7 linked regions of the Callithrix jacchus genome follow. The protein of the gene in region 1 purifies or fractionates together with the protein of each later gene. This does not show direct contact. Links are inferred from orthologs where the notes say so. Each region holds a gene or a part of one and is shown on either strand. Other genes may lie near its edges. The genes, in order: PPP2R2D, CDCA4, IER5, PPME1, ECSIT, PPP2CB and PPP2R1B.

Evidence for each region.
Region 2: the proteins of PPP2R2D (region 1) and CDCA4 purify together in Homo sapiens (affinity purification with mass spectrometry; 3 studies listed by BioGRID and IntAct, counting the BioPlex papers as one, with this or other methods). This does not show direct contact. The link is inferred for Callithrix jacchus from reciprocal best matches to the Homo sapiens genes PPP2R2D and CDCA4.
Region 3: the proteins of PPP2R2D (region 1) and IER5 purify together in Homo sapiens (affinity purification with mass spectrometry; 3 studies listed by BioGRID and IntAct, counting the BioPlex papers as one, with this or other methods). This does not show direct contact. The link is inferred for Callithrix jacchus from reciprocal best matches to the Homo sapiens genes PPP2R2D and IER5.
Region 4: the proteins of PPP2R2D (region 1) and PPME1 purify together in Homo sapiens (affinity purification with mass spectrometry; 4 studies listed by BioGRID and IntAct, counting the BioPlex papers as one, with this or other methods). This does not show direct contact. The link is inferred for Callithrix jacchus from reciprocal best matches to the Homo sapiens genes PPP2R2D and PPME1.
Region 5: the proteins of PPP2R2D (region 1) and ECSIT purify together in Homo sapiens (affinity purification with mass spectrometry; 3 studies listed by BioGRID and IntAct, counting the BioPlex papers as one, with this or other methods). This does not show direct contact. The link is inferred for Callithrix jacchus from reciprocal best matches to the Homo sapiens genes PPP2R2D and ECSIT.
Region 6: the proteins of PPP2R2D (region 1) and PPP2CB purify together in Homo sapiens (affinity purification with mass spectrometry; 6 studies listed by BioGRID and IntAct, counting the BioPlex papers as one, with this or other methods). This does not show direct contact. The link is inferred for Callithrix jacchus from reciprocal best matches to the Homo sapiens genes PPP2R2D and PPP2CB.
Region 7: the proteins of PPP2R2D (region 1) and PPP2R1B purify together in Homo sapiens (affinity purification with mass spectrometry; 4 studies listed by BioGRID and IntAct, counting the BioPlex papers as one, with this or other methods). This does not show direct contact. The link is inferred for Callithrix jacchus from reciprocal best matches to the Homo sapiens genes PPP2R2D and PPP2R1B.

What each region holds. Positions count from the first base shown.
Region 1 is NC_133513.1:125,243,570-125,247,069, forward strand, and holds part of PPP2R2D (serine/threonine-protein phosphatase 2A 55 kDa regulatory subunit B delta isoform), read left to right. Parts: intron 1-415; exon of another isoform or gene 416-616; coding exon of another isoform or gene 617-658; intron 659-1,666; coding exon 1,667-1,832; intron 1,833-2,188; coding exon 2,189-2,301; intron 2,302-2,547; exon of another isoform or gene 2,548-2,613; intron 2,614-3,500. UniProt on the Homo sapiens protein: Substrate-recognition subunit of protein phosphatase 2A (PP2A) that plays a key role in cell cycle by controlling mitosis entry and exit. Involved in chromosome clustering during late mitosis by mediating dephosphorylation of MKI67.
Region 2 is NC_133509.1:139,880,571-139,884,654, reverse strand, and holds the start of CDCA4 (cell division cycle-associated protein 4), read left to right. Parts: upstream 1-1,284; 5' UTR 1,285-1,366; intron 1,367-4,084. UniProt on the Homo sapiens protein: May participate in the regulation of cell proliferation through the E2F/RB pathway. May be involved in molecular regulation of hematopoietic stem cells and progenitor cell lineage commitment and differentiation.
Region 3 is NC_133519.1:39,363,894-39,367,793, reverse strand, and holds IER5 (immediate early response gene 5 protein), read right to left. Parts: upstream 2,668-3,900; 5' UTR 2,457-2,667; coding exon 1,476-2,456; 3' UTR 501-1,475; downstream 1-500. UniProt on the Homo sapiens protein: Plays a role as a transcription factor. Mediates positive transcriptional regulation of several chaperone genes during the heat shock response in a HSF1-dependent manner. Mediates negative transcriptional regulation of CDC25B expression.
Region 4 is NC_133511.1:66,763,890-66,768,163, reverse strand, and holds the start of PPME1 (protein phosphatase methylesterase 1), read left to right. Parts: upstream 1-1,474; 5' UTR 1,475-1,624; coding exon 1,625-1,725; intron 1,726-4,274. Other genes in the region: C2CD3 (C2 domain-containing protein 3), read right to left, coding at 1,234-1,303. UniProt on the Homo sapiens protein: Demethylates proteins that have been reversibly carboxymethylated. Demethylates PPP2CB (in vitro) and PPP2CA. Binding to PPP2CA displaces the manganese ion and inactivates the enzyme.
Region 5 is NC_133523.1:10,642,915-10,646,624, forward strand, and holds the end of ECSIT (evolutionarily conserved signaling intermediate in Toll pathway, mitochondrial), read right to left. Parts: intron 3,626-3,710; exon of another isoform or gene 3,512-3,625; intron 2,430-3,511; coding exon 2,372-2,429; intron 2,231-2,371; coding exon 2,082-2,230; intron 1,943-2,081; coding exon 1,837-1,942; intron 853-1,836; coding exon 611-852; 3' UTR 501-610; downstream 1-500. Other genes in the region: ZNF653 (zinc finger protein 653), read right to left, coding at 1-194.
Region 6 is NC_133514.1:31,978,076-31,982,369, forward strand, and holds the start of PPP2CB (serine/threonine-protein phosphatase 2A catalytic subunit beta isoform), read right to left. Parts: upstream 2,801-4,294; 5' UTR 2,387-2,800; coding exon 2,285-2,386; intron 1-2,284.
Region 7 is NC_133511.1:11,463,780-11,467,279, forward strand, and holds part of PPP2R1B (serine/threonine-protein phosphatase 2A 65 kDa regulatory subunit A beta isoform), read right to left. Parts: intron 626-3,500; coding exon 393-625; intron 1-392. UniProt on the Homo sapiens protein: The PR65 subunit of protein phosphatase 2A serves as a scaffolding molecule to coordinate the assembly of the catalytic subunit and a variable regulatory B subunit.

The sequences.
Region 1 (3,500 bases):
TCAGAAATCAGCATGTCCAAAAAGAGAGTGTGCTTTCTTCATCCTCCTTTTCCTATTTGTTACTCTCCTGCTCTCTCCTGCCTCCGTCCCAGCAAGGCTTCCTCGAGAATTCCTCTCCCTAGACCCAGTGGAACGCCGCGAGGGTGCAGAGTGTTGGAGAAGGCTGAGGGGTCACTGGGGTGGGAGCTGGGACCAGTTGGTGGCAGAGACGAGCCTGCAGCCCAAGGACAGTTCTCGTGCTGGCGCTTGGGAGGAAGCCAGGGCAGCACAGGCAGCACGCTGACTTGCACATTGTGCCTTTTTGCTTATAGGCCGCAGTTTTTTCTTGGTAGATGAATGTCTTAGGAATAGGACTAATTTGGTTATATACTTTTCTTTTTAAATAATTTGGTTCCATTTTTCTCCCTCGCAATAGAACTGTCTGTTGAAGTGCTGTGCTTCTGTAAAGAGGGGTAGGCGTGGGTCCAAGGAGAGCAGTTTAAACATCCGCCCTGTGCGGCCCACGTGGGACCGTCCAGCCCTGAGAAGCTCAGCTCCTGCCCGTGGAGGCTTCAGTTGAAGGAATGCACCGTACATCAGACTCAATGCAGTGGAGAGCTGTGGGGAGCCTCTTGGGATGACTTCTCCTAATAGAAGGAACATCTGTCTAGACTTAAAAGTTCGTTTAGTTCAGTTTCTTGAGCATATGTACTCAAGTGTCAAACATCTAAGATACTAGTTACTGGCTGTAGAGCAAGAATGAAAATACTGGCATCCTTGATTTTTGAATTACGGAATAATTAATAGAAAATTTCCTTTGGGCATATAGAGATTCAGAGGTTAATAGAGATGCACCTGCAAGCCCACCACCCAGAGGTTATGCCTTCATCAAAGGAAAGAGAACGCTGGGATCCAGATGAAGCTTCTGTCCCCTCCCCCATCTCGTTCTGCCACTTTTCTCCCAGTCTTTCTCACTCTCCCTCCAGCTTCCCAGAGCTGCTCATTCATTTGAAGATGGTGTATATCTTCCTAAGCATGTTCCTCCACTTCTCTAACAGTTGTTTTGTGTGTGTGAAAAACGGATGTAAGCAGCACTCACTGTGGGCGTCTGTACCGCCTGCCGCACTACGCAGCTGTGCCATCGTCCGTGCTAGCTCGTCACCTCCACGGCTGCATGGTGGCCCTGCACGGTTGCATGGTGGCCCTGCACTGTTTCCCTTCTCTAGCTGGTATGTGTGTGGCGTCTGGTTCACTCCCACCATGATGGGGCTGCCACATCGTTGTGTCACGCTCCTCAGGCACGTGCTGGCTCTCCTCTAGGGCAGACTCAGCAGATGCTTCCCCCCAGGGCCAGGTTGCAAACATTTTTGCCTCTGCAGCTCATAGCGGCCTTTTCACAGCCACTCACCTCTACCCAGATCGTGCAGCGGCTGCCAGAGACAGTGTGTGTGTCCCACTAAAACCTGCTCTAGATTCAGACCCGCAAGTTGAATAGAAGAGCGGGAATGTCCTTTCTGTTTTGTTTTTTTTCCAATAAATTGCTGCTGAGTTTCATCTGTTAGAGATTTTTTTTTGAGCCAGGATTTTAGAATTAAAAGCCTGTGATCCTTTGATGTTCCAGTTCAGTGTTAAAGTCTCCTCTTCACTGTACTTTGTTCATTAAAACAGCTCTCATGTCTCCTTGCAGAATAAAAGCCGCCCTCATTCTAGGGGAGAATATAATGTTTACAGTACCTTTCAAAGTCACGAACCAGAGTTTGACTATTTGAAAAGTCTAGAAATTGAGGAAAAAATTAATAAAATTAGGTGGTTACCACAACAGAATGCTGCTCATTTTCTACTCTCTACAAATGGTAAGAATTGTTTTCTAAGTGGCTGTTTGATTTAGTGTTTTATTTTTAATTTTCTGTGTGTAGAGTCCATTTTATTTTAAAAGTTATTCCTGCTTTAAATCTGGGGGCAGGGGGATAAATTATTATCTAGGGTAGCAAGTGAAAGGTTGAAATTGAGAGTATGCAACAAAAAGACACATTGTGTCTGCATGGCTCCACAGCTGTGGCAAACAGGGTGTCCGTGGGGATGCTCACCAGAGACCCAGCAGCTTATCAGCCAGCGCAGGGCCACACCGCTTTCTGATGTGATACTCAAACAGTAGTGATGCATGTTACAGTTTTTCTTTTCATATGGAGAATGAGGTTTTTATTTTCAGATAAAACTATAAAATTATGGAAAATAAGTGAACGGGATAAAAGAGCAGAAGGTTATAACTTGAAAGATGAAGATGGAAGACTTCGAGATCCGTTTAGAATCACAGCACTACGGGTATACGTTGCCTTTTCCTATCCAATGCTTTTCAGAAATTAAGAATATCGTTTGTGTCCGCTGTTCAGAGAATACTGTGCAGTGGAATACTGTGAGATCTACTTTCTTGATTCATGAACCTTATTTGTACTCATGTGTATGTGTTTAAAGCAAGAGATTTCTCCTATTTTCACAAAGGCAAAAAGTCACACGTGGTCCTTAGAAAATACAGCAATACTAAGGGGAAACTCTCATTTAATTCTACAGCAGAAATCTTGGTGGGCATACCAACCACCCTTCTCTCTGAAGGCCGAAGTTCAGAACACTTCACAGGTGAAATAGCATACCTTGCAAATTTAAAGATAAACTGTGGACCACCAAGACACCTTGGTGATGGTTCTCGTGGAATTTCTTTGGGGTTGACATAGGCAGTTGCTGGTAGTTCAGAACTCTTCCCCTGTCCATCCATGAGCATCATTACTTTTTAATTGTTAAACTCTTTGCTCCATTGTTGGTACGTCTCCGCCCCCACCACCATACAGTATGAAATGAGCATAATCAGTTCTGCTGCCTAGATTTTTTCATATTTTAACATCTATGAAATCGGGTAAAACTTAAAACCTTGGTCTTATGATTGACTGGTGCTGCACACCACTGATGGTGTCTTAAATTAGATGGAACATGGTGAAGGGTGTCAGGCAGACTGGACTCAAGCCCAGGTGTGTCTTGGTGAGAAACCAGTACCTGTGCAGAGGTGTGTCCCTGGAAGGAAACCCTGCCTGGTCCCAAGGGAGTGCCATTATTCGATTTGAAAACCATTGGTTGATTAGTTAATTGGTTGGGGTGGTTTGTTGGTTAATCGATTGAGTGGTTTGGTTGGGGTAGGTGGGTGTGTTGGTTGGTTGGTTAATAGGTTGGGTGGTTGGTTAATCGGTTGGGTGGTTGGTTGAGTGGTTTGGTTGGGGTAGGTGGGTGTGTTGGTTGGTTGGTTAATAGGTTGGGTGGTTGGTTAATCGGTTGGGTGGTTGGTTGAGTGGTTTGGTTGGGGTAGGTGGGTGGGTTGGTTGGTTGGTTAATAGGTTGGGTGGTTGGTTAATCGGTTGGGTGGTTGGTTGAGTGGTTTGGTTGGGGTAGGTGGGTGGGTTGGTTGGTTGGTTAATAGGTTGGGTGGTTGGTTAATCGGTTGGGTGGTTGGTTGAGTGGTTTGGTTGGGGTAGGTG
Region 2 (4,084 bases), on another chromosome or scaffold:
TTTGACATGCATAAACTTTCAGTTCTCAGGTGGTCTTATCAAGTCCCATTTTCTTTTACCTGGGCGGTAACCTAATGGGATTTTATACTTCCAGCCTTCCTGTCACCTCCTCCAAATCTGTTACTAACAGTGATTCTTCGTGGTTGCGGTGACTCATGCCTATGATCCCAGCACTTTGGAAGGCCAAGGGTCACTTACGGCCACGAGTCGGAGACCAGGCTGGGTAATACGGCAATATCCTGTCTCCACAAAATTACAAAAAAAAAAAATTAGCTTGGGGTAGTGGCGCACTCCTGTTCAAGTCCCAGCTACTTGGGAGGCCGACGCGAGAGCATCACTTGAGTACAATGGTTTGAGGTTACAGCGAGCCATAATCACGCCGCTGTCCTGCAGCCTGCCTCTGTCTCTGTCCCAGACATTCCTCTCCTGGAATTCTCTTCCACTCTTCCTTTTGGTGCCTTAAGACGCCCCTCATTCTAGAGTCCTATGTGAGCAGCGCCCCCACGCCATTCCCAGCTTTTTCCAACAGCATTTCAGCCTTTACTATTGACCTTGGCGCATCCATATTTGCGGATTCATCTGCGGATTCCCGTCCACCACCACTGCCGTCACCCGGGAGGTTTCACTTGCACTGGGTTCCCCGCTGCAGCCACACCTGCCGAGCCTGCGGCGGGCGCTCAAAGACTATTACCGAAGTCAGTGATTGCAGGCTTTTGTACTAAGAGATTCAAAACACGTGTCCCTGCTTTCTACTTTCACGTTGTATTTCTAACGTGTCAACCTGGGAAACCCCTGGAGATGCCCCGGTTTCTGGAGAGGCCTGGACGGACTCCGGAGCCCAGGCCGCCCGGAAACTGCCGTGCCCGGCTCCTCCCCACCCCGGCACGCATCCCTCCGCGGGCGAAAGAGCATCATCCCCTACCCAGCTGCCGGGCTAAGCTCGCCCGAGGACCCCACGTGAGCCCCAGGCGCAGGCGCACTCAGGGCCAGACGCGCGGAGACCTGGGAGCTGGCGGGGCGGAGCCGGACTGGGCGCAGGGAGACCTGGGAGCAGGCGGGGAGTGGGCGTGGCGGGGCCGGCGCGGGGGTTCCAACGGTTGCTGCCTCCGCGCGGGAACACTCGCCGCAGAGGCCCCGCCCGCGCAGGTTTGAACCAGAATCCCCGCCCCTGACCCGCGAGTGGCCAATCAGCGAGCGCGGCGCGCGGCCAGCGCAGCGTCGACCCTTTGTGAGCGCGGAGTGGCGGTCGCGGGCCCCGCCCGCGCTGGCGGGCGCTCCTCCCTCAACGGCGGGAAGCTGGCGGCAGCGGCGGTGGCGGCGGCGGAGCGGAGGACCGGAGGACCCGGCGGGCGGCCTCGCGGGTCAGGTGAGCGGGCAGGGCGGACTGCGAGGGTGGCTACGGCGGCGCGCGCCTTTGTGCTGCAGGGCGCGGAGGAGCCCGGGGCGGCGCGCGGGGTCCACGGCTCCTGGCTCTGGATCCGGGGCGGAGGCGGCGCCCGGGACTCCCGCTGGGGCTGCCGCGGGCGCTGCGTTCCCCTCGGGGTGGCCGCTGCTGAGGGTCCCGCGGAGCCGACGGGCCCGCGCCGCTGTCTGCGTTCCACGCGGAGCTCGGGGCTGGGACTTCGCCGGGGCCCCGCCGGGGCTCACAGCGGCGTTTCCCGCTCCTCGGCTCTAGTTGGCGGCGGAGGGAGCGGCGGGGGCGGCGGAGGGAGCGGCGGGGGCTCCGCAGCGGCCGCCCCGGGCCAGCCCCGCCCCGCTCACCGGGCCAGGGCGCGTCTCAGCCCGCTCAGGTGGAGCCCGGCTGCGGAGGAGGCCGAGGATGCGGGAGGAAGCCCAGACCCCGCCCCGGCGGGTCGGCCAGCGCCGTCTTCCCGAGGTGGATCGAGGAACAGGGCCCGAGACGCGCGGAAGTCGGAGGCCAGCTTCCCTCCACGTGTTCGAACTCTCGCCCCGCAGACGGGATCGTCGCGACAAAGGCTCGGACAGCGTGCGGGGGACAAGGTCCCCGCGGCCTCTCCTCCTGGGACCTTCGTGTGGGGCGCACGACACGGCGGGACCCAGATAACCGTTCTCAAAGCGAGCCTTAGAAAAACACCGCCCGTTCCCAAAACTTAACGCCGTATAAACCTTCCACGTGCAACCGCTCTCTTGTCAAGTGTCACGTGCTTTATGATTAGAGTGAAGGGACCGCCTTTATCTTGGAAAGGGGGCTAGGAAGTTTCCTCAACCTGCCATTGGAACATGCTTTCGGGAAAAAGAAAGGGTGTGGCCTGTCACCCCAGCACTTTGGGAGGCCGAGGTGGGTGGATCACGAGGTCAAGAGATCGAGACCATCCTGGTCAACATGGTAAAACCTCGTCTCTACTAAAAATACAAAAAATTAGCTGGGCGTGGTGGCGCGTGCCTGTAATCCCAGCTACTCGGGAGGCTGAGGCAGGAGAATCGCGCCATTGCACTCCAGCCTGGGGAACAAGAGTGAACCAACTCCGTCTCAAAAAAAAAAAAAAAAAGAAAGGATGTGTATCATTCCAAGTAACTGAAGTACCTGAAATTGGCCGGGCGCGGTGGCTCACAACTGTAATCTCAGCACTTTGGGAGGCCGAGGCAGGTGGATCATGAGGTCAGAAGTTCGATACCAGCTGGCCAACATGGTGAAACCCCGTCTCTACTAAAAATACAAAAATGGGCCTGGGTGGCGGCACATGCCTGTAATGGTAATCCGAGCTTTTCAGGAGGCTGAGGCAGGAGAATCGCTTGAACCCCATGGGTGGAGGTTGCAGTAAGCGGGGATCCCACCATTGCACTCCAGCCTGGGCAACAGACCCCATCTCAGAAAAACAGAAGTACCTGAAAGTAACATCAGTAATTGTTCATGAACAGTCTCCAGCAGACTGTAGTGGAAGGAGGAGCTCCCATGCGGTAGCTCTGAAGAGTGCAGACCTTGCTCCTCCCTGTTTGCAGATGAAATATTTCAAAGCCTATCTGATGTGTGATAGAAGTTGAAATTGTTGGTTTGCTTAAAAACCCGAAACTTCAAAGTGGCTGCCGTCCAGCTGTGAAGGTGACAGGTTAGGTCAGAATTGAGTCTGTCCCCAGTTGTCCCAGCCCTACTGATCAGATTCTGGGAATCTGCATTTTCAGCCAGCCTAGTGGGATTGCTGAGCCCGGAAGGGGTGGCCACTGCTGCTGTAGTGAGGGGCCGGGCCCTGAGCTGTACTGTACTTGCCTGAACAGCACTTCGGCGCTGCTCCTGGCCTCTGCCTGGGTGGGCTTAGGTTGCTGTCCATAGTGGCCTGTTGGCTGTTCACCTGCCGTGTCGGACATGTCCTCAGTCTGGCCCTCTTTGTTTTCTCTGGTTGGTGCCTGGTTTAGAAGCCTAAGGGCAGTGCTGGCAGTTGACCGAGGGGGAACCCTGACAGCCTTAGCTGTCTCGTTGACACCCTTGAGGAGCTGGTGGGATTTTAGACCTTTAATTAAAAGTGTAGAAAGACCTTCAGAATTGAGCTGGGCTGGGTAGGGTGGCTCACTCCTGTAATCTCAGCACTTTGGGAGGCCGAGGTGGGAGGATTGCCTGAGGTCAGGAGTTTGACGCCACTTTGGCCAACATGATGAAACCCTGTCTCTACTAAAAATACAAAAATTAGCCGGGTGTGGTGGCACATGCCTGTAATCCTAACTACTTGAGAGGCTAAGGCAAGAGAATTACTTGAACTTGGAGGTGGAGGTTGCTGTGAGCTGAGATATGTATCACTGCACTCCAGCCTGGGGGACTGAGCAAGACTCCATCTTTAAAAGAAAAAAAAAGTTGAACAGGAAGCTAGACTCCCCAGCCCCACTGGTGTAGGACCCGTGATCCTTCTGTGTTAGAAGGAGTTAAGCAGCCTCAGGCCAGAGTCACCCTCAGGGAGCTGAGCCCAGCCCAGGCCTCCCTCAGGGCTGGTGAGGACCATGTTCTTGCTGACTTTGTCACAAACGCAGATAGAACCCGATTCAGGGTGATCCTCACGGGCCAGCTTTTCCGAGCCCAGTCTTATCCTTTTCACCCCTAAACACATTTTCTGGGTGACAGCTCTTTGGGGTCACA
Region 3 (3,900 bases), on another chromosome or scaffold:
GGGACCTGACAATTTGGACAAGTCAGTCTCTTTCAGCTTCCTATGTCGGTTGCATCAGGCTTTTAAGGTCTACTACTATCTAAATTTTTTTCAATAATAAAGCGAAAAGATGATCCATATAACAGGAAACTAAGCTGAAAAACATTTTTGTGGATGAGCAGGGCTTCAAAAGTTGCTTAAATTACTTAATAAAATGGACACCCATGTATTGGTGACAGTCAAATTGGCCTAAACTGACCTTACAAAAGGCAGTTGTAATGGCAGGTTTCAAGACCCTGGCAGGTCGGTGATATTACTATCTAATAGCGGCCCTCTGATCTAGAAGAAAAAACTAAACGTGTCTCTCTTGATACTTGGTGGAGTCAGTAAACAATGTCCTCAGTCTGCGAGTGACTGATACCAAGAACCACACCTTCAATTTTCTAGCACAGGCCCTGGTTTCCCTCCTCCCACTTCCCTCCCAACCCAGGCAGGTTATTACAGACAAGGAGGCAGTTACGTTGCTTCAAAATATTTAATACGTGTTAGACACGTAGAAGTTACATTTTTATACAAAAATCAATACAACGAAGGAGAAAATACTGTACAAAAACCTTATCAGCTCCCCCAACCTTTATACAACAAAGACTGGAGTCACCTTATCTACAAAACCATAAGGTCTTTTCACTTAGGGCTTCTGTCTGTAAACTTTCATTAAACACTTTTTAAAAGCACTGTGTAGTAGTTCTGACCTAGAGCTTTTAAAAATATATCTTTTCTCTATAAACTCCGTATTTCCAAGCTTGAACTCTTCTGTGAAGTTCATCAAGCTTTTTCACCCCTGCGGGGAAGCGAAGGGCCGTTAATACTCCCCTTTCCTAGAGTAATCACAGGACATAAGCGTTTCTTCATTGGGAAAGAAAAGTGGGGAGGGAGGGAAGGAATTCAAGTCGGTGCTCGTGGCTAAAATCCCTCTCGTCTTAGGAAATCCTGTGCGGAAACGCCACTCCTGGCCCTGAAGCGGGTCTAGCTTTCCGGTGAGGGGTGGGTGTAAAGTCCCTCGCTCTCCGGAGAACGAATGGGGAACTCCCCGGCCCAAACCTTTTAGCCGCTTCCTTCTCCACGCTGTAGGCAGAGGAAAGTCCCTGTCTGCCCCCAGTCTCGTAAGCCCCGGGGAAGGAGTGGTGCATTCCAGAAGGACAAAATAGTCTTAATGCCACAAGACAAACTTACACACACTGACATACACAAACACAAAAGTTAACAATCGTCCTCTTCCAATGAGCCTCAAGCTCCCTGGTCTCCAGAAAAGCCTCGAGAGTCCCGGGCCGGCAGGGCCCCCGCGCCCGGGGGCGGTTTGCGATGCCCGGCGGCGACCAGTCTGCCCAACGCGCTCAGCGCCTGCGGTCTCTGGGCGTCCCTGCAGCCGGGAGGGTCCCGGCCCTCACTTCGGGGACGCCCGCTGCTCAACCTCCTCCCCGCACGGAGGCAGGGGCTCAGAAGGCCACGATGGCTGTGCTCCAGGGGTTCATGTCTCTCAGCACCGGCTTATCGCAGCAGATCTGCCCGGGCTCGGCGGCTTCCGGACCGCTCTTCTCTCCCTCCTCTTCCTCCCGGCCGCCCCCGGGGCTTTTCCGTAAGAGTCCCGAGAAGCTGGAACCAAAGATGCTGATGAGGTTAGCCACGTTCCCGGTATCCATCTCCTCCGTGTCGTCGTCCTCTCCCCCGCTCGGCGGCTGCTCCAGGTTCCGGCGGGGCTTCTTGAGCGGGGTCGAGCCGGGCGCCGGGAAGCTCGTTGGGCCGCCGCCCACCCCCGCCGCGCCGCGCTTCCTGGGGCACACGGCTGGCGGCGCGGGAGGCTCGTCCTCGGCGGGTCGCGGCGCACAGCAGCAGGCAGCGCGGGGGGTCGCGGCCGGTGTACCCGACGAGTCCTCCCCGCCTAGGGGGCAGCCGCAGGGGCGGCGAGAGGCACGAGACCCCAAGGGGAAAACACCCCAGCCTCCGGCGGGACCCTCGGCTTCTCCGGCCGCCGCCTGGCGAGGCCCCTCCACTCGGCTCCAGGCAGCTTTCGCCGCGTCCGCGGCTCCGCCCTGAGGAACGACCCCGACTCCGGTCACCGTGGCCTCCGGCACCGCGTCCCCCACCCGCGGCGCCTCTGAGACCGCGGAGCCCTCCGGCTGTGGCTCCGTATCCGCCCAGGAGGCACCGGCGGCAGGCGGGGGCGGCTCTCCCCAGCCGGCGGGTGGCCCGGCTGCCGGCTCCCCGAGCTGCTGCGGCGGCGGCGCCGGGATCCCCGCGGGACCCGCCAGGTAGAGGCCGGGGCACGGATCGCTCAGGTAGACTTGGCGGGCGCTGCGCAGCACCAGCGAGACCAGGAGGTTCTTATGCAGCTTGATGCCGCCGCGCTGGACCCGCGAGTTGTAGATCTTGCCCAGGGAGATGCTGACGATGCGGTGAGCCTCCAGCTTGAACTCCATCCTGCGTCCCCTGCACACGGCCGCCGGCGCCGGGGTGACGGGGTGTCACGTTCGGAAGCCGGGAGGGGACGGGAAACACAAACAAGTCCGCCCCTGGGTACACCCTCGATCGCCTAAGACTCCGAAGAGAAACGACTGCGGTGACGCGCGCGCTGTCCCGCTGGCCGCTCCACACCAGACAAGCGCCCAGCTCCGGGTCCGGTCGCTAAACAAGGCAGCCCGGCCGTCCCGTGCCTTATATAGGCTCCGCGACCGCCAATCACGAAGGGATGCCAGCCGTTCTGAGGCTGGCCGGCGCGCCCTCGTGCGCCGCGCACGACCAATCGGAGCCCGAGGAGGGGCGCCAGGGCCCGTTCGAACGTTAGTCCCGCGGAGCAGGCTCTTAAAGGGGGCTACGGTGTGGGTGTGCGGCCGCCAACCAGGGCCGGGGGGAGTGCGGGTCGGGGGCTGTGCTCGTGGGCGCTACTGTTTAGAGTTACAGACTCAGGATTGTGTGATGGCTTGCCAGAAACAAAGCGAACAAAATCTTTGAACTTTCATCCGAGTGTGGTGGTGGACTCTGCTCTGCCATGAAGTCCTGATCCTTCCGTGATCGACCCCGCCCTCACCAGCCACGCCACGGTTTCCAGGCCAGCCACACCTGTGAGCCATCCCCCTCAACTCTAAAATAGAGATGGTGGCTATACGCGGCGTAGGACACTTCTGGATAACAAATAGCATTACTGCACGGTATTTGGCAGTTATTATTTTTGGACGAGCCGCTTTCCCTAATAGAGTCACATACACTCTTAGCAGCTGTCAGTTCTAACCCTAAAGAAAAGGGGAATTCTAGAAGTTTTTGGCTACTTTTTTGGCTTATCAAGGAATTGTGTCTAGATACAAAGTTATTGGTTGTCGTCTAAAGCTGGCATCTTTCACTTTGTTCTCCAGATTGTAGAGCAAAGCTAGTTATCAAACAGGTTAGGTGGAAGGTGTTACAGGTTCTCCACAATGATTTTTTTTTTTTTCCATTACAAGGACTGACCAGTGTACCCTTGGAAAAATCGAGCAAGTTCTGAAAATACAAAGAGAGAAGTCCTGTGTTCCCATGATGATGTCATAATTTCATTTTGTGTCAAGGTAAAAATACAGGGCAAGGGAGTTCCAGAATTTTGTGGTCTGTCAACACCTTAGTCCATCTACTGGTCCTTATAAGTGTATTAGGGCAGAATTGCCACAGGGTTGCTCAGAGTTCTGGACTGGAAACATAGAGTCAGTTCCAGTTAGTTCCAGCAAACTCCACCACAGACCTGCCTGAGAACCTGAGGCCGCTTCAGTGTCTCCACTGCGGAAAGGGGGAAGTCACATACACATCTGCTTTATTATACAGAAGATAAATGACAACTCTCAGCCACAATCTGAATGAGAAAACTAAGCACTGCTTTCTTGGAGTCCATGTGGAACC
Region 4 (4,274 bases), on another chromosome or scaffold:
CCTCAAAACTGCCTTAGTAATCTTTAAATAGCTTGGATAAGAGTAATTCCCAGATTGTAGTTTCAGTCCTCAACCCAATGGCCTAAAGTCCTATCACTCTTCCCAGTGTTCTTTTCTCACTAAACCGCCTACAATGCAAAAAGGCAGGGTAGTCCTTTTTTCCTTCAAGGCAGCCTTGTAGAGATTCAATGTCCAGTTTCCTGATCTACTCTGGGTTTCTAGGGTGACTGTTTTCACTGCAGTCACCTACTTGGTGAGCTTGTGTCTTCTTCAGCTGCTAACCTGATGAGCGCTCTCTGCGCTCTCTTTCATGATCTCAGGTCCTTCAGGAGATCCTCATTCCCTTACCCCGACTCCAATCCTATCACACCTTTTATTCCTTTCTTCCCCACGCTAGACTCCACAATTATTTTCTCAAACTCCTGCTCATAGCCCTTCACGCTTCATTCATTCAACTAACATTTACCGAGTACTGCTTTGTAGTAGTCCTTGGTCATTCAGTAATGTAGTAACCGTGATCCTTGCCCACAATCACACCAGCAATGACACAATCCCTTTGCCAATTTATGTTCTTTCCTGTCCCTGTGGATCTCTAAAACCACACACACACACACACACACACACACACACACACACACACACACACATTTAACTTCGTTATCAAAACCACTCCTACGGTTTGTTCTTCTCTTTTAGTCATCCTACCGGTAACCCTCATCGCACCGCATTTATCACCACTCTGTGGCCCCTACCCGAGCCCCTGATTCCTTTCCATTCTCTGGAGGGCCAATTGCCCTTCCTTTTAACCTTCTGGTTCCCTGGCTATTTCCCCTCTTCCGTCCCTTATCTTGTTTAGTCAGCGGGGGTGGGGGGGTCTCCCTAAAATTCCTTACATTCTGCTCCACTATTACGCTTTCCTCAATCTTTGATCGCTCGGATTACCTCTTTTCTTGCGCCCACGGCTGCCCCCAGGCCCTTGGCCTTTTCGTTGTTTCATGACGAGCCCGAGCTTTTCTTTACAAGCTCAACTCCGTCTCCAGCACCTAAACAATATCCTCCCGCCATCCCTCCCCACCGCGCCTGCGTTCCCCGGCAACTGGCGCCGCTGTGCAGCCTGGGAGGCAGAAAGAAGCGCTCTTCCTCTAACAGACTCCGGACAACGGTGCAAAGAGAAGGCGCCAAGACGTCTTCCCTACAATAGACTACAATACCCAGGATGCTTTGCTACACTACCTCTGCGGGGTTGGCTGGCGGTGCCTCCAGCTGCGCAAGCGCATAGGGATACGCCCTTCGAGGACTCCATTGCCCAGGGTGCATTGCCCTGAAGAGCGCTCCTCTTTCCGGTGAAAGTCGTCGGGTTCCCGGCTGGGAGACTTCGAAGTTCACGGACTCAGTTACCCAGCTTCCTTTGTGGAAGGGCTGTTGCGCACTTCCGGTGGAAGCGCTGAAGCGAGTGGGTGGAGTTTACGGAGCCGGTGGGCGGTAGGCGGTGCTACCGGTATCTGGGTGCTGTCCAAAGGCGACAGGACGTCGTTAGGCGAGCGAGCCGTGACCGGTTGGGCCACACTCAACGTGGGACGAAGCTTCGCCTACTGTTTGACTACGTGCGTGCAACCTCCCCTTAATGTCGGCCCTCGAAAAGAGCATGCACCTCGGCCGCCTTCCCTCTCGCCCACCCCTGCCCGGCAGCGGGGGCAGTCAGAGCGGAGCCAAGATGCGAATGGGGTACGTGACCCATACCCCTTCTCCCTAGGGGCCAGGCCCCAGCCATTGGAGAATGGTGTCTCTGGGCGTCCAGAGAGGCACGGGAAAGGAGTCTACGGATAGGAGAAAATGTTGACGGCGGCCTGGAGACATTTAGATGAAGTAGAAGGCAGATTGGGGGACTAGGGGAGGCGCCAAATCAATGGAAATTGGAGGAAAAATAACGTTATTGACGGTAGAAATGCATGAGGCAAAATTAGGGAAGCTGAGAGTAACATAAGGGATCTGAGAATCGCCTCCGGAAAAAATAGAAAAGGGAGTAGAACGGTGACAAAGGTGGAGGGAAGTGGGGAATGACAGAGAAAAGTTGAGGGGAATTGGGGCAACAACTAAGAAAAGGTTTGGGAGGAGTAGATATTATCACACTTCTAATATCTACACTGTGAGAACTAGATATTAGAAAAGCTGAGGGGAATAGAGAACACCTAAGACAGGGTTGGAGAAGGAAAGAGGAGAACTAGGAAGCAGACGATTCTAGAGAATTCCCAGAGGTGTAAAGGCAGATGCAGGGAATGAGAGGTGAGATTAGGTGTCTTAAGGGAGAATGAGAAAGTTTGGGGAGAGGGCCTAAGGTAAGGTGGAGAACATAGCCACGAAGATTGTTAAGGTAATAGGAATATGCTGAGAAACTGGACAGGATATGGGAGAGAGAGAAGAAGGAGAGGACTAAAGAATTTAGAAAGTGACCATAGGCTCTGAAGATTGAGAAATGACTATAAATACGGTTTGTTGAATGGAAGTGCTGCAGTTGTAAGGTATGGGAAGCTTAAAGAGGAAACTTCGGGCAATCAGTTTTTGCTGGGCCAATAGACTGGAGGGAAGTGATGTACTGGCCTAAGACCTTGAATTAGTGAAGCTTTGGGAGTAACCACTTAAAATGTTTTTGGGGAAATAAGTTTGCTGGAAAAGGAAGAAAACTGTGTTGAAGAGATAGGCCTTGAAATTTTATATCATCAAATGGCTTGTGCCAGGTTAGGGGATACTTGGGCCAAGGAAAAAGAATGAGGTGAACCTGGGAGAAGTAATTGCTGGAAAGCAGAGAGAATTGAATAAGTATTTCATTTTGAGGTGATATTTGTAGTTTCAGACAGGATTCTGGGAATTAGTGACTGTAAAGAGAAAAGGAGTAGGAAGAATACTTAGCTATGAGGAATTGAGAGTGTATTTGGGATTCTAGAGATGAATTGGTAGATATTCTTTGAAAAAGGACTACAGAAGAGAAACCTTAGGTTCTGAAGAAGTAATACGTGTAAAAACTGATCAAAAAGGAGGTGAGAATATGTGATGCAGTACTGTGACAGTAAGTCCTGGGGATGAAAAGAAAGGAGAAGCCTATACAACTGGGGTGAAGGAATGGGAAGAATGGTTGGGAAAAACAGGGAAGGAAACTAAGAACTGAAGTGGAGACCTGCTATGAGACACAGTAGAAAAATGAGAAAACTTTAGCAGAAGATAGATAAATGGATGCACAGTAGAGGAGGTAGAAAGCTACATAGTAGGTAAAGTGAAGATTGTTTTCGCTTTGGAAGACAGAAAGATTGGACTATGACATGAATAAAGATAATTTGGAAACCGACCCATAACATTATTTGGGAAAATTAACCTGGAGTATAATATTAATGTAACAGTAATTGTGGATATATATCTTAATTTCTGCCTTTCTTAAACTAAAATTTGATCTTTCAGTATACCAGCACTCTTCTATACAAATACATAAGAAAAGCAAATTTTTAATAATTATACATTTTTAAGATAAGTTTAATTAGAGCTTAGCTTCTCACTTTGTCAAAACAAGTTCTCTGAAGATTGAAGAACTGGGTGAAAATACTGAGAGAAAATAAAAGGAAAATCTGCTGATTAGAAGATTGCATAATTATTAGTAATTTATCCTTTTTCTTTTTTATTACTTTTCATTTTGTTTTTTTAGAGATAGAGCAAGACTTTGTTGCCCAGGCTGGAGTGCAGTGGCATGATCTCAGCTTACTGCAACTCCTACCTCATGGGTTCAAGTGATTCTTATGACTCAGTCTCCCAAGTAGCTGGGATTACAGGCATGCACCACCACACCCAGCTAATTTTTGTATTTTTAGTAGAGATGCAGTTTCACCATGTTGGCCAGGCTGGTCTTGAACTCCTGGCCTCGGGTGATCTGCCCCAGTTGGCCTCCCAAAGTAGTGGGATTATAGGAGTGAGCTACCATGTCTAGCCAACTTACCCTTTTCTTTTTTTTTTGTCTCTCAAATTTATTTTTTATTTTTATTTTATATTATTTTTTTATTTTACTTTAGGTGTATACTATATCCAGCATTTCTCCCCATGTTATCCCTCCCCACCCCCCACTGCCCCCAGTGTGTGATGCTCCTCTCCCTGAGTCCACATGTTCTCATTGTTCAACACCCACCTATGAGTGAGAACATGCGGTGTTTGGTTTTCTGTTCTTGTGTCAGTTTGCTGAGAATGATGGCTTCCAGATTCATCCAAGTCCCCAACTTATCCTTTTTAAACAGATG
Region 5 (3,710 bases), on another chromosome or scaffold:
CCGTGCGCCTCGCCCAGGTACACGCGCCGCACGTCGTACTTCTTCCGGGACTCGAGCCGTCGCCGGGCCCGGTCCGACTCCGTGAGTCGCGGCCGGCCCCGCGCCTTGCGGCCCGCTGCGCCCTCCTCGGTGGCTGCCTCCTCACCCGCGCCCGCCTCAGCCTCCACCTCGGGCTCGGCCGCCCGCTCCGCCATCCCCCCCACCCTGGTTACCAGCCTCCCCCGTTGTTAGGAGCCCGACCGGAAGTGGCGCGCATATTCTGCGCTGCCGGGAAATTTCTCACGGTCTCTCGCTGCCCCGGGGCGCCAAAAGGAGACCAATAACGGAAACTGCGCATGCGCACGACCAGCCCCGCCCCTCTTCGGTTAAACTTTCTAGCTTCGTTTGGTGGGAGAGAACCAGAAGAGCCTGCAGACTCTGCAGGGGTCTCGCTTGCCCATCGCTGGCAGCCTGAGATCCTGGGGAGGGGATGCCACACTGCCAAAGAGGTGGGAAGGGAGCCCCATGCAGCAAAACATTTATTTGCTCCACACTCAAAGGGCATCTCATGCCTTCATTCCAGTCCACCATCTCCTCAGGCCACAGACTGTGCCTTCCTGGAAGCTCAGACTCAGCTCTGGCCCTCCCGCTGTCGCTGCAGGTTGTTGTCTTCTTCCTCGTGGTCCTCGGGCGGGGGTGGCTCCTCTAGCCCTGCAGATGTCTGGAGCTCCCCGGCGGGCCCAGCCAGGCGGAAGACCACGGGGATCTGAGCCAGGGCTGGGTTGGTCTCCTGCAGGTACTGGATCCACCTGGCCAGCGTTGCCTGGTCGTGGGCACCCGCTATGCACATGGCGAAGACAGGGCCTTCCTCCACTGTTGGAAGAGATGCAAACCTCAGGGTTTGCCCAGTTGGGGCTGCAGCGGGTAACCCATGCCTACACCTTTTTAGGTATTTTACACTCCCTTCCACTTTCTTTTTCTGTGATGGAGTCTCGCTCTGTCGCCCGGGCTGGAGTGCAGTGGCGAAATCTCAGCTCACTGCAACGTCTGCCTCCCAGGTTCAAGTGATTCTCCTGCCTCAGCCTCCTGAGAAGCTTCGATTACAGGCGCACATCACGATACCCAGCTAGGTTTATTTTTAATAAAGACGGGGTTTCACCATGTTGGCCGGACTGGTCTCCAATTCCTGACCTCAAATGATCCACCTGCCACAGCCTCCCAAAGTGATGGGATTAAAGGCCTGAGCCACTGCACCCAGCCTCCTCCTACCTTCTTGTACCTCCAGACCTTTGCACAAGCTAGCCCTGCTGCCTAGGCTGCCCACTCCACACTTCACCTGGGCGATGCCTTCTGGGACTTCCAGATTCTGCCAGGAAGCCCTCCTGACCTCCTACTCAAGGCATGCTCATCTCCTCAGCTCCCCAAAGTGTAATTTGCCTGTTCCTTCACTGACCCGAGCGACTAGGCTTGTCCTGGTGACTCCCAGTAGTCAGCACAGAGGTGTGGAAGGAGGGAATGACCAAAGGCCGACAGGGTGGGTGGCCTCAGGTCTGGAGCCCCTGGGACAAATGAGTGTGTGTGGCAGGAGGACCGGGGGTAAGTGGACTGTGTCTCAACTTGGGCCTACCCATTGACCCCAGAGGCCGCCCCTCATCCTGGAAGTCCTGCCTGTCCAGGTTTTTGCCTTTTTTTTTTTTTTTTAAGAGTTAGGGTCTGTCACCCAGGCTGGTGTGCAGTGGCTGGATCATAGTTCACTGCAACCTCAACTCCTGGGCAAGTGACCCTCCCACCTCAGTCTGTTGGAGGGCTGGGATTACAGGCACATGTGTGAGCCACGGCATGGGGTTCAGTTTTTACCTTCATCGATGTCAAACTCATAGTCATCCCAGCCATGCCTCGCATAATCTAGGTCCAGCGACATCGGGTAGTAGAGGTTCCACTCCTCTGGCATCTCTTCCACTTCCTGCTCCAAGGAGGGTAGTGCAGGCAGGGTCAGAGGTTGGGGCTCTCGCAGTCTCCCTTCCCCAGCCTCTCCCACTCGCCCTCAGGGTGGTGCCAGCCCATTCCCCAGCTCTGACACATGCTCTGCTTTAAGCCCTCACCCTCTCCTCCAAGGGCAGCAAGTCAGCTCTGAGGATGTGGTAGTACACACACTTGTTTCGGAGCCACAGGGAGAAGGGACCCTCGACAAAGATAGGCCGGGTTGGGTTGTGGCGAGCCAGGGCAGCCTGCTGATCGGGACTCTGGATTCCTGGTGTGGAGACATACATGCTCTGTGCCCTGTGTGGGAGTCTCCCCAAAGGCCCAGGGAGCCCAATTTGGGCCCAGCAGGAACCTGGCAGGGCCTGGGGCAGGTTAGAGGCCTGGCCAACCCCATGCTCTCAGGACTTACCTATGATGTGGGGCTGGGTGGGATCTGCTACATCTGTTGAGTCTTTGGAAGAAGCAGTCTGCAAGGAAGAGAAGGGATGTAATCTTGTAACCCCCAACCCCCTGCAGAGGAATTGGGGACAGAGAAACAGAAAGGGAGATATCAGCAAATTGAGGACACCTCTCCTAGACCTGGTGTGTGGCCCTCCATCCCATCCCCTCCTCCCTCTCTCCCATTTGGCAATAGCCCCCAATCTTTAGGATGCTCACCCTGAGGGTAGCACCCTGGAGCCAGCCCACCTGTGTCAAAATCCTAACTCTGTCACAAACTGTGTGACCTCGGCCAAGTCACTGTACCTTTGTGCCTCAGTTTCTCCAGCTGCACAATAGGGATAACAGCACTTAATTCTAATTTTTTGTTTTTTTCTTTTTTAAAGATGGGGTCTCCCTCTCTGTTGTCCATGCTGGAATACAGTGGCATGATCATAGCTCATATAGCCTTGAACTCCTGGGCTCAAGTGATCCTCCCACCTCAGTCTCTGAAGTAGCTGGGTCTACACATGCACACCACTGTGCCTGGCTAATTTTATTTTATTTATTTATTTATTATAATTTCATTTTTCATATGGAGTTTTACTCTTGTTGCTCAGGCTAGAGTGCAGTGGTGCGATCTTGGCTCATTTTAGCCTCTGCTTCTTGGGTTCAAGTGATTCTCCTGCCTCAGCCTCCTGCGTAGCTGGGATTACAGGCACCTGCCACCACGCCTGGCTAATTTTTTATATTTTCAGTAGAGACAGGGTTTTGCCGTGTTAGCCTGGCTGGTCTCCAACTCCTGGCCTCAGGTGATCCGCTTGCCTGGGCCTCCCAAAGCACTAGGATTATGGGCATGAACCTAACTTTGGGTAGTTATAAAACATGTAGAACAGTGCCTGGCAGGTAATAAGTGCTCAATGCTTGTGAATTAACGAAAGAAAAATAACTTCACATATACAGAATATCCCAGGAAGGAGACATTAGAAGCAAATGATAGCTTTCACCTCTGTGGGGGACAGGGTGGGAAGGAATACCTTTCGGTATCTTTTAAAATGTTATACCCTGAACATAATTCAGAAACACTAGACAATTTTTTTTTTTGAGATGAAGTTTCACTCTTGTTGCCTAGGCTGCAGTGCAATGGCACGATCTCAGCTCCGTGCGATCTCAGCTCACAGCAACTTCTACCTCCTGGCTTCAAGCGATTCTCCTGCCTTCGCCTCCTGATTAGCTGGAATTACAGGTATACACCACCATGCCTGGATTTTTTTTTTTTTTTTTTTTTTGCATTTTTAGTAGAGACAGGGTTTCGCCATCCTGGCCAGGCT
Region 6 (4,294 bases), on another chromosome or scaffold:
TTTAGAAGCCGAAGGAAAAAAAAATCTCTTTTGACAAATACAGAAAGTTTCACAAGTGATTGACACTCTGGTGTGATTATTTCAAGGTATAGTAGTGGTACAATATTCTTCTCTAGGAGTTCATCTTAAAATTATTAGAAAGTCAATGGGGGCTCTGCACAGGGTTCACGCCTGTAATCCTAGCACTTTGAGGGACTGAGGTGGGCGGATCACTTGGGGCCAGGAGTTCCAGACTAGCCTGGTCAACATGGCGAAACCCCATCTCTACTAAAATCAGCGCATGGTGGTGGGCACCTCTAATCCCAGCTACTCGGGAGGCTGAGGCAGGAGGATTCCTTGAACTCAGGAGACGGAAGCTGCAGTGAGCAGAGATGGCACCACTACACTCCAACCTGGGTGAGAGAGTGACATTCTGTCTCAAAAACAAAACAACAAAAAAAGAAAGTCAATGGGAAAAACAGATTCAAATAACACTTTGCCCATAACTTCAAGTCTGCATTCTGATGTTCATAGCAAGGTTAACTGACTCAGCTCATTTCAAACCTGTACAATTCACTTCACATTAGAGCTTGAGAAAGATATTTAAAGTATAAATTTTAAGACACAATAAAATGAATGTTTACTGAAGCCACAAGTAAGCAGTTTGTTTCAGAAAAAGAAAAATACCACTTGCTTGGCACTTCTATTTACAAAAATAAATTCTTCGGTGTTAACCAATAGTTACTTAATACATAAAGGTCTCAGGCAACATTATACCCGTTAAAAACACTATTTTAACTTAACACTATTAGTGCTTCTTTTCTAAGTAAATTTCATGATTTTAAGAATGTCCTAAAATAAGACTAACAAAAAATTGTCCTTTTCTTGTGTATTTCTGCAATATCATGATTTCTAAGCGTTATGGTTAAAAAAAAAAAAGTACAGATTATGTTAAAAATAAATAACCTCGTTACTTCATGGACTTCAAGTGGGAATTTTTAACATGAAAAATATTTAGTCCATCTTATAAAGGATAAATGTGGAAAATTAGACTTTAAAGATGGAGAGATGGAAATGATTCCAGGGGTTAAGACAACAAGGAATATAGTATTTATAAAGTGAAGATCACTTTACAAACTCATGAACGATGTACAAGAAAGAATTGACCACCTGCAGGCGTTATTCTTCGGAAAAGAAAAAACTTTATATTAAAATGGAGAATAATTGTCTGAAAAGTGCTATCATGCGTGAAAACGCACACCCCACCTCATTTCCAGCAAACACGGTTCCCAAACTCAAGACCCGCTCTCGTTTAGGAAAATCAATGCTTTACTTCCAAGAGCGAGTGAAGGCAAAGACCAGTCACCATCTGTTTCCACCAAAGTCAACCTCTATTTTAAAAATCGCAGCTGGCCATCACGCCTACCTCTCCACAAACAAACGCTTGACACATTAAAGAGCCAGTAATTTTTTTTTTTTTCTTTTTTCGGAGACAGGGTCTTGCTCTGTCGCTCAGGCTGGAGTACAGTGGCGCGACTTCAGCTAACTGCAGCCTCCACCTCCTGGATTCAAGCGAACCTCCGGCCTCAACCTCACGAATAGCTGGGATTACTGGCACCCGCCACCATGCCCCACTAATTTATTTTTTATTTTTTTTTTTGTGGAGACAGGGCCTCACTATGTTGACCAGGTTGGTCTCTTAACTCTTGGGCTCAAGCAATCCTCCCGCATTAGCCTCCCGAGTAGCTGTGACCACAGGCGTGAGTCACAGCACTTGTGAGTGATTTTTGAGGTGCCTCGTTCGCCTGACAAAAATTCTACATTAATTAACAAGTTCATTAGTAGGTACGACATTCTGGTTAATTTTAGGTGCATTTTCAGAGACAGCATTGCTCCTTTTCGGACGCCGCTCTCGGTAGCCCACTCGGGACATGCTGGAGTGGCAGGAACTCCCCAGGGGAGCGCAGGCAACCTGACCAACCTCAGGCTCGACTCCGGGGGGCGCGTTTCCCTTTCCGTCCACACCCGAGCCCCCACGCCCGGGATCTGGGCCGCCGGCCGCGGGCGTGGGGCGTGTCAGCGCCGAGGCAGAGGCGCCGGGCGAGGGCAGTCCAACGCTCCGGTCCCTGACCGGCCGGGCCCGCCGCCCGAATGGAGGCCGGGGCTGCAACCCCGCAGGCCCCCGGTGGGCCAAGCCGGGCCGGGAGCGGACGGGCCTGGGACGTGCAGGAAGGAAAGCGGCGGCCGCGGCCCATCCCAGCCCCGCGCTCTCGCACTCCCGCACTCGCCCCCGCGGCGCCCTCACCTTCTCGCACAGCGTCCGCACTTGGTTCTCGTTCAGCTGCTTACACTCGTTCAGCTGCTCGACCCACTGGTCCAGCTCCTTGGTGAACGCCTTGTCGTCCATGGCGGCCCGATCCCGATGCGGATCCCGAGCCCCTGCCCCGCAGCCGCCCTCCCCCCACCCCACCCGCCCCCGGCCCCGGCCCGGGCGCCGCTCCCCTCTCCCTCCGCCGCCGCCGCCAGATCCCACTGGGGGAAGACAGAGCTAGGGAGGGCGGCCGCGGGCCCCGCGCCCCGCCCAAGCCCAGAAGGCGGTTCCGAGCGCGCGGCCTGGAGGAGACCCCCGCCCGCCCTTTCTCGCCTGGCCGCGCGCCGCGCGAATAGGTGAAGGACGCGGGGAGGTGCCGGGGAGCGCGCCGCGGGTTCTCGGCCAACTCCCGCTGGACGAAGGCCGTCCGCCGCCACCTCACACCCGCCGGCCTCTACAGGCTATCTTTCCCCTTCTCTCGCTCTTTCTCTCCCCTCCCTCCAGGTTTCCGTCATCGCTCGGGCATTTCCGCCGGGAAAAGGCGAGCAGGCGGCACCGCCCGCCCACGGCGCACTAGGAGCAGAACAGCGCCCTCGCTTGGCCTGGCGGAGAAACGGTCTGAGGAGGCCGGGGTCCCTCCTCCTTTCTCAACCCTGCCCCAGACCAAGCTCTGCTGGTTCTCCCTTCAGATAGACTGATCTCTGGGAACTTTGTCCTCACTTTAGCTTCCTGCAGTACTTTTTCAGTGCTCTGGACAGGGAATTGGAAAACTTGGGCTCCCCTTAACATTGTTCCCCCCAGAGTCTAGCACTCAATAGCAGGCATTCAATATTGATGGAGTAAATAATTGATTATTTACAGCCGGGTCTGTAGTCCTAACATCTCGAATCCTTCCCTTCAACATTAGAAAAGTGAAATGGTTGTTCTGTAGGATAATCTGTGGCCCTTCCAGCTCTAGCGTTCTTGACTGCGTTTTCTGCAATATGTACTGAGGTTAATGATTTGTTCATTCAACAAATATTTATTGAGACAGAGGAGGGACCCCTTCTTAGGGGCCAGCTAGGCACCCCCCTCCCCAAGTATGGAAAGGAAAATCTTGAGTTCTCTCAAGGGACATTCCCGGCACCTAACTTCCTCGAGAAGTCAATGAGCAACCTGATAAGCAAGAAGGTAATAAAAGCTTAAGGCAGTAACCAAGGACGTTAGATTCACAAAATGTTTGGTTCCTTAAAGAAACTAAAGAGGACGATGTCCCTGAGTTGTTTTTTAGAAACCTGGACCCTCACCAAATGGAAAGTGCTGTCCACTGGCATGGAGACTTCAAACTATCTATCTTTGTTCTAAATTTCTTACTGAGGAGCCTGGAAAAATTCACAAAGCTTTGCCTCCTTAACCAGTTGCAAATCATAAAATCTTTGAATCCATCTATGACCTGTGGGTCCCTGCTTCAGATATCTTGGCTTTTTAGATCAAATTCATGTATAGTCTCCATGTATTGATTTATGACTTTGCCTGTAACCTCTGCCTCCCTGCCTTTAAAAACCCTTACCTGGGCTGGGCACAATGGCTCACGCCTATAATCCCAGCACTTTGGGAGGCTGAGGTGAGTGGATCATCTGAGATCAGGAGTTCAAGACCAGCCTGGCCAACATGGTGAAACCCGTTTCTACTAAAAATACGAAAATTAGCCAGGCATGGTAGCGGGCACCTGTAATAATCCCAGCTACTCGGGAGGTTGAGGCAGAAGAATCACTTGATACTGGAAGGCAGAGGTTGCCCCATGAGCCAAGATCTCACTATTGCACTCCAACCTGGTGACAAGAGTGAAAAAAAAAAAAAAGGAAACACTCGGAAAACCCCCTTACCTGTAAACCATCAGGGAATTGCGGTCTTCAGCATGAGCTGCCTGATTCTTCTTGCTTGGTGCAATGCAATAAATGCCTCACTTTCTCTCACTGCAAGTCCCAATGCCAGTGTTTGGCTTTGCTGTGCTGGTGGGAGGAC
Region 7 (3,500 bases), on another chromosome or scaffold:
GCTCAAGCTGGTCTTGACCTCTTGAACTCAAGCAATCCTCCCACCTCAGCCTCTCAAAGTGCTGGAATTCTAAGAACAAGCCACTGCACTCAGCCAGAAAAATTTTTTTAAAACTAGCCAGGAGCTAGTCTATATGTCTATAGTCCTAGCTACCTGGGAGGCTGAGGCTGGAGGATCACTGAAGCACAAGAATTTAAGGTTGCAGTGAGCTATGATTATGCCATCGTGCTCCAGCCTGGGCAACAGAGTAAGACTTTATCTCTTAAAAAAAAAAGATATCATAAATCCTGCTACCCCAGTATCAGTCACTCACTGATAACAAAGTACTGTGTAAATTATCAGCTACAAGTCCCCAGTAATCCCAAATAACTCAAAAAAATACCATAGCTTACTGTCTAATGTCTGCTTTAACAGCATTTGATGCCCTGGGATAGCACACGCTGAACAAACCACATGCAGACGTGCGAGAGGTGAACCAATCCCCACTTGCTAGGCGTTTCACCAGAGGTACAAAATAAGCTTCCAGAGCAACGGGAGTATGCTCCTGGGAGATCTGTCTCAGGGACTCCACAGCTCTGTCACGAACAACAGTCTCTTCCGCAGTCGCCAGATTTTCCAAAGGAGGCTGAATGGATTAAAAAAGAAAACCAGAGAAGAAAACTTATTGAATCAGGTTAGAAACAGATTATCACCTTTTAAAGTGACTGAAGGGAGGTGGTACATGTAACCAGAATGTTAGCTCCATCACACCAAATGGTTACTTTCAGCTCACACAGTGATAACATATGGTGCAGAGAACCCGAAGACACGACTTTATAGAAAAGCCAAAATCTCATGTCCCAGATGGCAATTCCCAGATGGTGTCTACAAATGACACAGTGTAAGAGACTTGACACAATATTAATATTACTGTGAGCTGAATCACTAGGTTTAAAAGATATATAGCCAAATTCAGACAGGATCGTGTGTATTTCCTCAATAGTAAGTACAAAAACATGATCAACACTGGGCACCACATTTACAGGATAACAGCTTGTCAGGTCACTGAGTCCACAGCCTTTTCAGTATTATTCTACCATTCCCAGAGGTGCAAGCAACCCTTATCCACCATCTCCATGCCATCCTTTTATCCAACCTATAAAATGCTGAATACAAAATAGCTTTTTTCAGAACACATTCAGCAACTTTCCATTAGCCACAGGGCAGGAGTTTCTGACAGAACAATCAACTGAAAACTACAATGACGGCCAGGTGCAGTGGCTCACACCTATAATTCCAGCCCTCAGGAGGCTGAGATGGGCAGATCACGTGAGGTCAGGAGTTCGGGCCAGCCTGGCCAACATGGTGAAACCCTGTTTTTACCGAAAAATACAAAAATTAGCCAGACATGGTGGTGCACGCCTGTAATTCCAGCTACTCAGGAGGCTGAGGAATGAGAATTGCTTGAACCCAGGAGGCTGCAGTGAGCCAAGATTGTGCCACTGCACTTAAGCCAGGGTGACAGATAACAGAGACTCTGTCTCAAAAAAAAAAAAAAAAGTAAAGTACAGAGATGGCAGGGCCCCTTGCTTACAGCTTTAGAAACAGAAGAGGCCAAAGCAGGTGGATGGTCTAGATTAGGATCAGTAACTGAATATGGCATGGTCTAGTAAAAAGTATAAACAGGCTGGCTCTCTGAACCTCTGCCTTACTGAGTTTGCATGTAATCCAGGTAGATTCTACACATGCCATAAGCTACAAATTTTAAAGCATAAAACTCACCTGTAGAACCAACCAAAAGTGAAACAGAAGCATAACGAGTTATTAAGTTATCTAATAAAAGATTCTGAAAATTATTTGACACAGGTAGACAGTATTCAGCTTTCCTACAGGGTATTTCCTACAGAAACCCATTGAACAGATACTGTTTTTCACTTGCCAAGGCCTTTCACCATCTGTCCCCGCCTACTGTAATACCCTCTCATGCAATACCACTGGATAATCGCTATCACTACTACAGGATGAGGCCATGGTCCTCAGAATTGCTTATGAGTTGTCTTGATTTGAACTCTGCTTGGCCCTTGATGACCACTCTGCCTGCCTACTCCAGCCTCAACACTTCACACTCCAGAAGTCCTTTTTTTTTTTTTTTTTCAAGAGACAGGGTCTGGCTGCACAGGTTGAAGTCCAGTGGCACAATCATGGCTCAGTGTGGTCTCAAACTCCTCATCTTCCTGCCTCAGCCTCCCGAGTAGCTATGACTAGACATAATGACACCATGTCCAGCTTTTTTTTTTCTTAAGAGATGCAGTCTCACTATGTTGCCCAAGCTTGTCTTAAACTGCTGGCCTCAAGCAATCCTCCTGCTGCTTTGGCCTCCCAAGGCTAGGATTACAGGCGTGAGCACCCATGCCCGGCCACACTCCAGCAGTTTTGAACCCAGCCTGTTTCATGCTTCCAAGCCTCTGAAATTCATTTTTTCAATACATGATTATTGTTGTATTCTAGCACTGGGGACACAGAAGAAACAAACCAGACAAGGTTCCTCACTCTAGTGGCATTTACATTCTAATGGAGTAAGACAATCAATCAAGAAAAGAAGATGGTGATGAGTCCTCTGTAGAAAAAAGGAGTTGGATGATGTGGTAACGGGTGACTGGGAGGCTATTTCAAGTTGAGTGTTTGGGGAAAACCTCCCTGAAGAGATGCATTGAAGCTGATCCCTGAATGACAAGGAGCCAGCCACAGAATGCTCAAGAGAGCATTTCATTATAGGAAAGACCTAGGGCAAAAGTCTCAAGGTAATAAATAATGAGCTTGGTTAGTTCAAAGAACAGAAAGAAGACCAGTGTGAATGAAAGAGGTTATCAAGGCATTTGAGGTCTGTCCCCTGCCTACTGTGACCTCTTCTCATGCAGTACCACGGGGCATATGATAAGCCTACAGAAGCGAGTCTTAAAAAGTCTTGTAAGCTAAGGTAGAGAATTTGGATTTTCTTTTTTTTTTTTGAGACGGAGTTTCGCTCTTGTTACCCAGGCTGGAGTGCAATGGCGTGATCTCGGCTCACCGCAACCTCTGCCTCCTGGGTTCAGGCAATTCTCCTGCTTCAGCTTCCCGAGTTGCTGGGACTACAGGTACACGCCACCATGCCCAGGTAATTTTTTGTATTTTTAGTAGAGATGGGGTTTCACCTTGTTGACCAGGATGGTCTCGATCTCTTGACCTTGTGATCCACCCACCTCGCCTCCCAAAGTGCTGGGATTATAGGCGTGAGCCACCAAACCCGGCCCAGAATTTGGATTTTCTAAGAGCCATGGCAGACAGTGAGCCATCTGCTGGGTGATGTGAACTGTAAGGGTGGGGTGAGAGGCAAGAGTGGAAGGTATTGTTAGGAAGCTACTAGAGCAATCTAGAGGAAAGATGATGATGGTCTGGACTAGGCTGGTAATAGGAGGGATGGAAGAAAGTGGGCTGATTTGAAATATATTTAGACTCTATAGGAATTACTAACGGATCAGATG